2 linked regions of the Schizosaccharomyces pombe genome follow. The protein of the gene in region 2 interacts with the protein of the main gene of each other region in a pairwise test. Each region holds a gene or a part of one and is shown on either strand. Other genes may lie near its edges.

What was found. Proteins that work in one complex are often made in the same cells at the same time.
Region 1: the proteins of cct3 (region 2) and SPOM_SPBC3B8.08 interact in a two-hybrid assay, tested with the Schizosaccharomyces pombe proteins (one large-scale study listed by BioGRID).

Annotation. Positions count from the first base shown.
Region 1 is NC_003423.3:3,376,671-3,380,746, reverse strand, and holds SPOM_SPBC3B8.08 (uncharacterized protein), read left to right. Parts: upstream 1-2,175; 5' UTR 2,176-2,307; coding exon 2,308-2,400; exon of another isoform or gene 2,401-2,563; coding exon 2,564-2,932; 3' UTR 2,933-3,038; downstream 3,039-4,076. Other genes in the region: U3 snoRNP-associated protein Utp3, read left to right, coding at 3,393-4,076.
Region 2 is NC_003423.3:1,989,548-1,994,642, reverse strand, and holds cct3 (chaperonin-containing T-complex gamma subunit Cct3), read left to right. Parts: upstream 1-2,166; 5' UTR 2,167-2,179; coding exon 2,180-2,204; intron 2,205-2,242; coding exon 2,243-2,316; intron 2,317-2,386; coding exon 2,387-3,874; 3' UTR 3,875-4,227; downstream 4,228-5,095. Other genes in the region: pus7 (pseudouridine synthase), read right to left, coding at 1-716; SPOM_SPBC1A4.11C (uncharacterized protein), read left to right, coding at 993-1,367; U3 snoRNP-associated protein Sof1, read left to right, coding at 4,291-4,552, 4,609-5,095. UniProt on the Schizosaccharomyces pombe protein: Molecular chaperone; assists the folding of proteins upon ATP hydrolysis. Known to play a role, in vitro, in the folding of actin and tubulin.

The DNA.
Region 1 (4,076 bases), 1.4 Mb from region 2:
CTAACGGTTTAAAATACTCATGTTGGAAAGAAGTGGACACAATCATATGGTTCCGCGCATACCGAATGTAAAAGATGTGGGTGTGGCACACTAGTGAGGTCGATATCGGATCCCCCCACAAGGTACGAAAAAGGGTATCATGGGTAAAGCAAAGGTAGATGGAGATGGTTAGCTAGACTAAGACTTAGGAGTTAATGAGGTGGGGGAAATGAGTACTACGGGGGGGGAAGAGGTAATGTTGGGTATGTAAGTAAAGAATAATAGTAATAGTGGCTATGGAAAGTAATACAACATATACGGTGAGATGGGATGAACTGAATGAATTAGTATAAATTAAATGAACTTTAGTGAAGTTACATGAGACGGAATATAGTAAATAAAAAAAAAATAAAATAAAATAAATTTTGAAAATAAATAAATAAATTAAACTATGATGAATACATTTGTTTCCTAAAAAATATCTATTAATTTATTTATTTACATTTTACAAAGGAAGCATTGGAAAATACGAATGGTGAGAAATATGTTTAAAAGAAAAGCTTTCCATTTGAATACTTATTAGTACGAAAACGAAGTTAATGGAAAATAATAAATATAAAAAAAAAAAAAAAAAAAAAAGAATAATAACAATTTTCCTCAACTTTGCACAAGTTGTATGTATAATATACAAAGAAGTTTGGTCCGAATACCCATCATCTAAATAGCTTCTTAATAATCCCGTTCTATGCCATCTCCCCTTGACTGTCGAGATTTTCTTTTGTTTATTCTTTTTTCAATCAAGTTTTTATCTTATCGCTAGTCTTTGTACACAAGTTTTTCCTTCGCATCTGCAGTAAGCAGGAACGGAAAGGAAAAAGGGGTAAGGAACAATTAGGGTTGCTTTGAAATTTCAATGCTCAAATTCCAACATGCCGTACGGGAAATGATCGGGAAAACTTTCCGCTTTTTTAGCAATTTCAAAAGTAAAATTTACTACTTGTAACATATACGTATTGAAATTCCGCCAAACCTTCGTTACCATTTGTCTAGCCTCCGAAATCAGTAAACAAGGCAAACCGTCTATGTTCCTTAGTAAATAAAAAAAAACTGTCGCTTTGTAATATTCTTTTGTTCATTGGGTAAAGCATTTGGGGGTCTATGTATCTAAAAAGAGTTAAATTAATCTATAAAACAATTGCTTGGTTGAAAAAAACATGATTGTATTTCTCTAAATTTACGAAAAAGTTTACCTTTTTTGTCAATCCGCTAAATTTACCAACCTTATGATATTAATATGAAAACGAAACCTGAAGCGGGTTTCCAATAAACCTATCTTTTTGAGATGATTGTTATTTGCACCGACTATGAAATAAATAAACACCATCATCTATTATGCTAATTTGTGCAACATACTTAATTAACAAGTACTCTACTTAATTTAAATCATCATGAGAGAAAGTAGCAACTTGATGAATAATTTTATGTAATTATTTTGTTTTTTATTCCTATTAATATTTTGGTATTTGATGTAATCAATTCAGCTCGAATATATATTATTTTATTTTATTTTTATTATATCATCTAATTAACAATAAATATATTTCATCGAATTTTCTTACGAAGCTCGTTCATTGTTTCATTTTTTTTTTTCTTTTTTCTTTTTTTTTTTAAATTATTTGTGACGTTAGTCTGTTACACTAATACCCGTGACTTTAGAAAAAATGAGTTATAGAGGAATTATTAGATACATTATTACATCGTGTTTCGGAGAATTACAGCAAACCCCCATTAATGGTGCTCTTACTAACATTCACAGCTTTCATTCGAAAACGCATTTTTGTTTTGCCATTAACTTTTATACTAAAAAAATAGGGTAAAAGTTAGAACAAGTGAAATAAAATCAAGTGAGAAAAGGGATTATATTAAATAAAGGAAAGATTTAGACTTTAAAAAATAAAAAAATTGTATGGGTTCCATATATCGTTTTTTTTAATTAATTTACCCTAGTTTTTCAAATCATTGTACTGTAGCAGCGATTAGTACTTGCACACACCATTAAAGAAATCAAAAGTTCAGTTTTCAAACTCCAAAACTTTCAGTGCAGCGTTTTTTTTTATATAACTCTGTTTATTATATATACATAAATTTTTTGTCTTTCTTTAGTTCTTCGATTCAACCTACGCTCATAGTCTCTTTACAGACAACCTACAGCATTTTCGTCAAAACTAAAATTTTCTAACAAGTAGGGAAATAACTCAGAACATAAAATATACAAACACTTCTTATTTTTGTATAAATCGGTTCTATAACACTACTGTCTTTAGAAAAATGTTAACACAAGACGAGGTCTCCGCTCAACTGGGTCAATATATGCTCCGCGGCTATACTCTCTTGGATACCATTTGTCCGAAATGTGAAAAGGTAATTAATTTTGTATTTAGTCGTTGTTTAAACTTCAGGTGAATACAATGGCAAACGGAATGATATTAAGGAAGTCAGTTTTCTTTTCTCAAAATGCTTTTGCTACCTTGGTTTTTAAAACAAAACCAATTTTACTATTACCCTTTTTCTAACACTATTCTAGGTACCTATGATGCGACTTCGTGACAACCCTATGTTTTGTGTTTCATGTATAAACGACCTAAAGGAATCTGATGCCTCTGAACATGTAACAGTCGCTGAATCTGCTCCAAAGATAGCTTCCTTACCTATATCTAAAACAAATGATGCGGAAAGATCACAGCAAACAACAAAGGCGCCAGTTATGGAAAGAACTGAATCAAGCCATCAAGCCACTTTAAGCGTCTACTCGAGGCTTATTTCAGAGTTGGAAAGTCAGCTTGACGATCGTCTTCCTCTACCACACAATACTGAATTCCTTGACGTATCATTACAAAGAATTGAACGTATTTTAAATTTGATTTCACTTGCAAAATCGCTAATGTCGTCTTAGGTGTTTTTGTAAACAATTACAAGTCATCTATAATTACAGGGTAATTGACTTCGGTGAATATCAATTATTTAAAAGAAATACGAGATTTGCAAACGAGTTAAGTCCTTTAAGTCTGTTTCAATAAACCGCATAACTTCAAAACAACTGGCAACTATGACATTAGGAGAGTTTGTCAACATGAACCATGCATCTCACATAATTGTGTGCATCGAAAATTATACATGTAATGATTTTAAAAGAATTTGATATGTAAATACTTATTCTTGGAAAGAAAACACCTCTAATTAACTTTCTTATGTACGGAGAAGTCCATGAAAATAATAGTGTGGAATAATGAGTTGCTTTATTTTTAACAAAATTAAGTTTTTATTGCGTTAAATTCGCAAATAAAACTTGCCTACCCCTTTAGTGGCTCCTCGTAACTAAAAAGAATTTTTATATTTGTCAACTGCATATCAGTATGGCTAGAAAGAAGTCGAGAAGCTCTTCTACTCGGAAAGGTTCTTCTTTAAAGGTACCAGAAATAAAGGAGAAAGAAAAGATAAACGCAATCAATACATACGAAGATGTTGCTAATTCAGAAGATGAATTCTATAACGCACAGGATAAAATTTTGTTTGATGCTGACAACGGCGAGCAAGCAGACGAATTAGAATTAAGTGATGAAGAACTTGTGGCTTTAGAAAGTTCTAGCGATGAGGAAGATGGGAACGCCGAGGAGAATTTATCAGAAAATGAAGAGCTCTCGGGCAAAAAGAAAGACGCTGTTAATGAGGAAGAGTTATATGATAATAAAGGTTGGGGTCGCTCTGCAAAATCATATTACGGTGGGGATGATTATGACAATGAAGACTACTCTGAGGAGGACGATGAATTTGACGCACGAATGGAAGAGCAAGAAGCGTTGCGTTTACAACGTAAACGTCTTGAAAAAGTCAGCGAAACTGATGCTATTGATGATATTAGTCAATGGGCTGATAACAGTGACCTAAAATCTATAAAACAGGATTCCTCTGCTGCTGCAATTGAAGAACTTGTTCAGCAAATTTCACCTGATCTCCCTCGTACAGAGCTTTTAAAGATTCTAGAAGCTAAACATCCTGAATTTCAATTATTTTTAGATGAATTAAATCAATTGAAACCC
Region 2 (5,095 bases):
TCACCACCCAAAGCCTTCCAACTTAATCGGGGATCTCTTCGTGATCTAGGCTGGTTTTTTCTGGTGGTCTTTGACACTGTAAAAGTTCCATTCCCTTTTGTAGAAGACTCGAGTCCAGAAAAGTTGTTTCGTATGAATTGATGTAAGATCGTTCGCTGACCTTTATCCATAGGAGGAGTATTTTCGGGAAGAATTAATGAGATGGGATCAGTTATTTCACCAACTGATAGCTTATGAAGAGATTGAATAAATTCATTACCAATTCCCTTAGGTATGATACTTTGGAGGTCATTCGGCAATATAGGCAGTGTAGCAGGTTCTTGTTCCTTAAAAGAAGGAGCTTTCTGGTCATTACTTATATCTTGATTAGAAGAATCTTTTGCGTCTTCAGTTTCCTTGTCTCCGGTTGCCTTCGAAAGGATAGGATCGTGAGCTTCCATATCAGTTAAGTGAACTATATTTCCATCTGTATCAACTTCAAAAACAGCAAAATCCGTGAATCTTGCTTTAATAATTCCATCGATTGAAGGAAGATTTGGATTCAAAAACGCATCAATTCCTACATCTGACTCGGTCATATAAAACTTCTGACCGCTCAAATCTGAAGGAGCGTTGGCTTCATCTTCTAATCCATTTCTTTCCAAATTCCTTGAAGACTCAGATTGGTCAATCCGAATCCTTTTCCTAGGGACATCCACATGGTTTTCTTGGGACATTGCTAAAGCGAATATACAAATTTCAAAACCACTTGAATGGGATTAGCTACCGCGTTAGTATTCATAAAGCCATGTTAAGCACACTTTCTGCATCTAGTTATAAGGTGGATCGACAATGCTCAATAGTACATTATTACGAGGTGCGTATGACATTCATTAAAATTATACCACTCTCGACCATAATATATAATTTAGTATACCGAAACGAAGGATCTCGGAAAGAACTAAGAAAAGGAAAACAGACGAGGGCTACTTGAAGAAAGACGCCAAATATCAATGCCCGAGAAGGATTGGATTGGGGAATTTGGTCCCTCGAAATTCAAGAGCCCAATTGATAAATTAAATCAGCTTCTTCCTGAGAGCAATGACCCTTCTATATTGTACGAAACGTCCCAGCACCTTTTGTCTGAGTTTGATAAAACACTTAATGACTCTCTGAGAGTTTTGAACCAACAAATCAATCAAGTTTCAGAGGTCCTTCCCCGATTACCTACTATGATATCTGCGCTAGATCGTGAATCAAAACGCCTTTTTGAATCTTGCGAAAAAATGGATCCTGAACCTAGTGCTCTGATGCCCCTTCAAGAATTGGAGAAAATCCGCTCAAATATTCAACTCACAATTTCACAAATTGACAATCTTACGCCTTAAATTATTTACTTGCTGTATCCTTGTGCGCTTTGGTAAGCGTGACTACATTGAGTATATGTTTCTGGTTGTTTGGTTCTTCGAAAAACTAACATAAAAAGTTAGAATATTTCATGTAAAACAAATCTTTTTCTATGATTGTATATATGCTTGTTTTCTTCCCGTTGTATATATTCGAACGGTTCATCTATCGTTTACCATTTCTTCTGAATTACCCTACAGGTTTGATTTTTTTTTGACACTCCTCCACAGTGGTACATAAACGTATTGAACCATTATTGCTTTCGATTTGTTAGAAATAATACGGTGTTTTCTGACCTTGCATAAAAATTGATTATCTTCTATAAGCTAATTCTCGATATCTGTGTTTATTTTTCATGTGTACATTGTGAGTATAGGTATATATTTCGATAGGTTGTACACATCCTTTTTTTTTTACTTTAATCCATGAAATTACTACCACTTTTGACTTCTGCTTCTCTTGTTCGAAGTTCTGGGAATGAGAGAGCAGATGTATTTTCATATTTGTTTTATTTAATATCAAATTTTACAATTTTTTTCAATTATTAATTTACCTCAATTTATTTTAATATGAAATATAGCAAACTAATCATTTTCTCAAAGTAAATAAAAACGCTTCTGTGTTGGTCAATCTCGTTATCTTTTTGATTTTTATATACAATAACATTTGCAAAACAAAATTTGCGTATCGGTTTGCTATTATTGCGAATTTTAACGTATCCTTATCAGGGTTTTGAATACTTCGCTTTAAGGAACAAACGACCTTTACCAATTTGAAGTTGTCTTTCACCAACATGCAGTCTCCTGTGTTTGTTATGAGTAAGTTGCATTTCTGGTATTAATTTAATTAACCAAAGATACAAATGGCAACCGACAGGTTGGCCACAAGGCCCAGATGTCAAATATACAAGCTGCGAAGGCTGTCGCTGATGTACGGTTTTTTTCCATCCTCTTAAGCTTTAAACTGAGGTTTGTTATATATTACGTTGCTGACATTATAGGTTATTCGAACATGTTTAGGCCCGAGAGCTATGCTTAAAATGTTGCTCGATCCAGTTGGGAGTGTTTTGCTTACAAACGATGGACATGCCATTTTACGTGAAATTGAAGTCGCACATCCGGCTGCTAAAAGCATGATTGAGCTTGCGAGAACCCAAGATGAAGAAGTTGGTGATGGCACTACTTCGGTGATTATATTGGCTGGTGAAATATTGGCCGCTGCTAGTCCATTGCTTGATCGTAAAATTCATCCCGTTGTCATGATCCGCTCGTTTAAACAAGCTTTGGAAGATGCATTATCTATTATTGATGAGATAACGTTACCCGTGAATGTCGATGACAATGCTGAAATGTTTCGTCTTATTCGAACATGTATCGGCACTAAATTAGTTGCGAGATGGAGCGATTTGATGTGTCATCTTGCTCTTCGTGCTGTCCGTACCGTTGCTTCTACTTCAAATGGTAGAATGGAAATAGACATTAAGCGTTATGCCCGTGTGGAAAAGGTCCCAGGTGGTGAAATTGAGTCAAGCTGCGTATTAGATGGTGTTATGCTTAACAAAGATGTTACACATCCCAAAATGCGTCGTCGCATAGAAAATCCAAGAATTGTCCTGTTGGATTGTCCTTTAGAGTACCGAAAAGGTGAATCTCAAACTAATATTGAAATTTCCAAAGACACCGATTGGAACCGTATTCTTGAAATTGAAGAAGAACAAGTCAAGCGTATGTGTGATTATATCATTGCAGTAAAACCTGATCTTGTCATCACTGAAAAAGGTGTATCTGACCTTGCTCAACACTACTTGTTAAAAGCTAACATTACTGCTCTGCGTCGAACACGTAAATCTGATAACAACCGTATTGCTCGTGCGTGTGGTGCCAATATCGTTAATCGTCTTGAAGATTTACGTGAGAAGGATGTAGGTACAGGCTGTGGCTTATTTTACATCGATAAATTAGGTGATGAGTATTATACCTTTTTAACAGGCTGTAAAAATCCCAAGGCATGTACTATTTTACTACGTGGACCAAGTAAAGACATTATTAATGAGGTTGAGCGCAATTTACAGGATGCTATGGCTGTAGCCAGAAATGTGTTCTTCCATCCTAAACTTTCCCCTGGCGGTGGTGCTACTGAGATGGCTGTCAGTGTTCGTCTTGCGGAAAAGGCACGTTCTATTGAGGGCGTTGCCCAATGGCCTTACCGAGCTGTTGCAGATGCTATTGAAATCATTCCTCGTACTTTAGTTCAGAATTGCGGTGCCAATCCAATTAAAGCACTTACCGAACTTCGCGCGAAACATGCGGAAGGTCAACATAGCTTTGGTATTGACGGGGAAACTGGTCGAGTTGTCGACATGCATGAGTACGGTGTTTGGGAACCTGAAGCCGTCAAATTACAGTCAATTAAGACCGCGATTGAAAGTGCTTGCCTCTTATTGCGCGTAGACGATATTGTTTCTGGTGTACGCAAGCACTCCGAATAAATTGATATGCATTAACTCTGGGCATGCCTGGTTTATTGGTTTCTTAAAAAAATATTTGGATGAGAGAAAAGTGGTAATTTCTCGTGACAGTTGCACTGTTTATGGAAGAATAAAATTGTATATGATTGAGATTCATCAGTGGCACTCGTGAAATTTAGCTTTGATTAAAATGAACGTTTTAAAAGAATGGGAAGTTTGTGACCTGTGGCGTTTGCTAGTAGTTCGATAAGATTACTTTTAGTAGAATTTTTAAATAATTGAAATGAGTTTTAAAAAGCTAAATCTTAGGGATTGCTGAAGTATTTGCCCTTTTGTTTATTCAAATACGATGGTTTACGCTACACCTCATTATCCAATATTTTTGCAAGGTGTAGAGCTTACTACTAGAAATTGAAACTTGCAACGAACCAAAAAGGATGAAGGTCAAAACAATCACCCGTGGTACTTCGTTGACACGTCTTAATGATCAAGATCCTGTTAAAAGGAATTTAGATCCATCGCTCCATCCTTTTGAACGTGCGCGTGAGTATACACGTGCATTGAATGCTACAAAGATGGACAGGATGTTCGCAGCCCCTTTTCTTGGTCAATTGGGTAGAGGACATCAAGATGGTGTTTATTCATTAGCTCGTGATACAAAAACTTTGATAGATTGTGCCAGTGGAAGTGGTGATGGTGGTATGTGATAAATAAGTGGATATAAAAAGTTTGGATGTCACTAACACATTTTCTAGCTGTAAAACTATGGGATGCTAGTGAACGTTGTGAGCGCTGGACTTCAAAGGCACATGAAGGCATTGTTAGGGGATTAGTATTCTCTAATCAAGGAGACGTTTTATCTTGCGCTTCTGATCGCTATGTTTACATGCTTAATAAACAAGATGGCAAAGTTAAAAGATCGTATTTGGGAGACTCTTCTCTTTTGGATATTGACACTAGCAAAGGAGGTGATTTATTTGCAACTAGCGGTGAAAATGTATCTATTTGGGACTATTCTCGTGATACTCCAGTAACAAAGTTTGAATGGGGAGCTGATACATTACCGGTAGTCAAATTTAACTATACGGAAACATCGGTTTTGGCTTCAGCTGGTATGGATCGATCAATCGTAATTTACGATCTCCGTACATCATCACCGTTAACCAAATTGATTACCAAATTGAGAACTAATTCAATTTCTTGGAATCCAATGGAGGCATTTAATTTTGTAGCTGGCAGTGA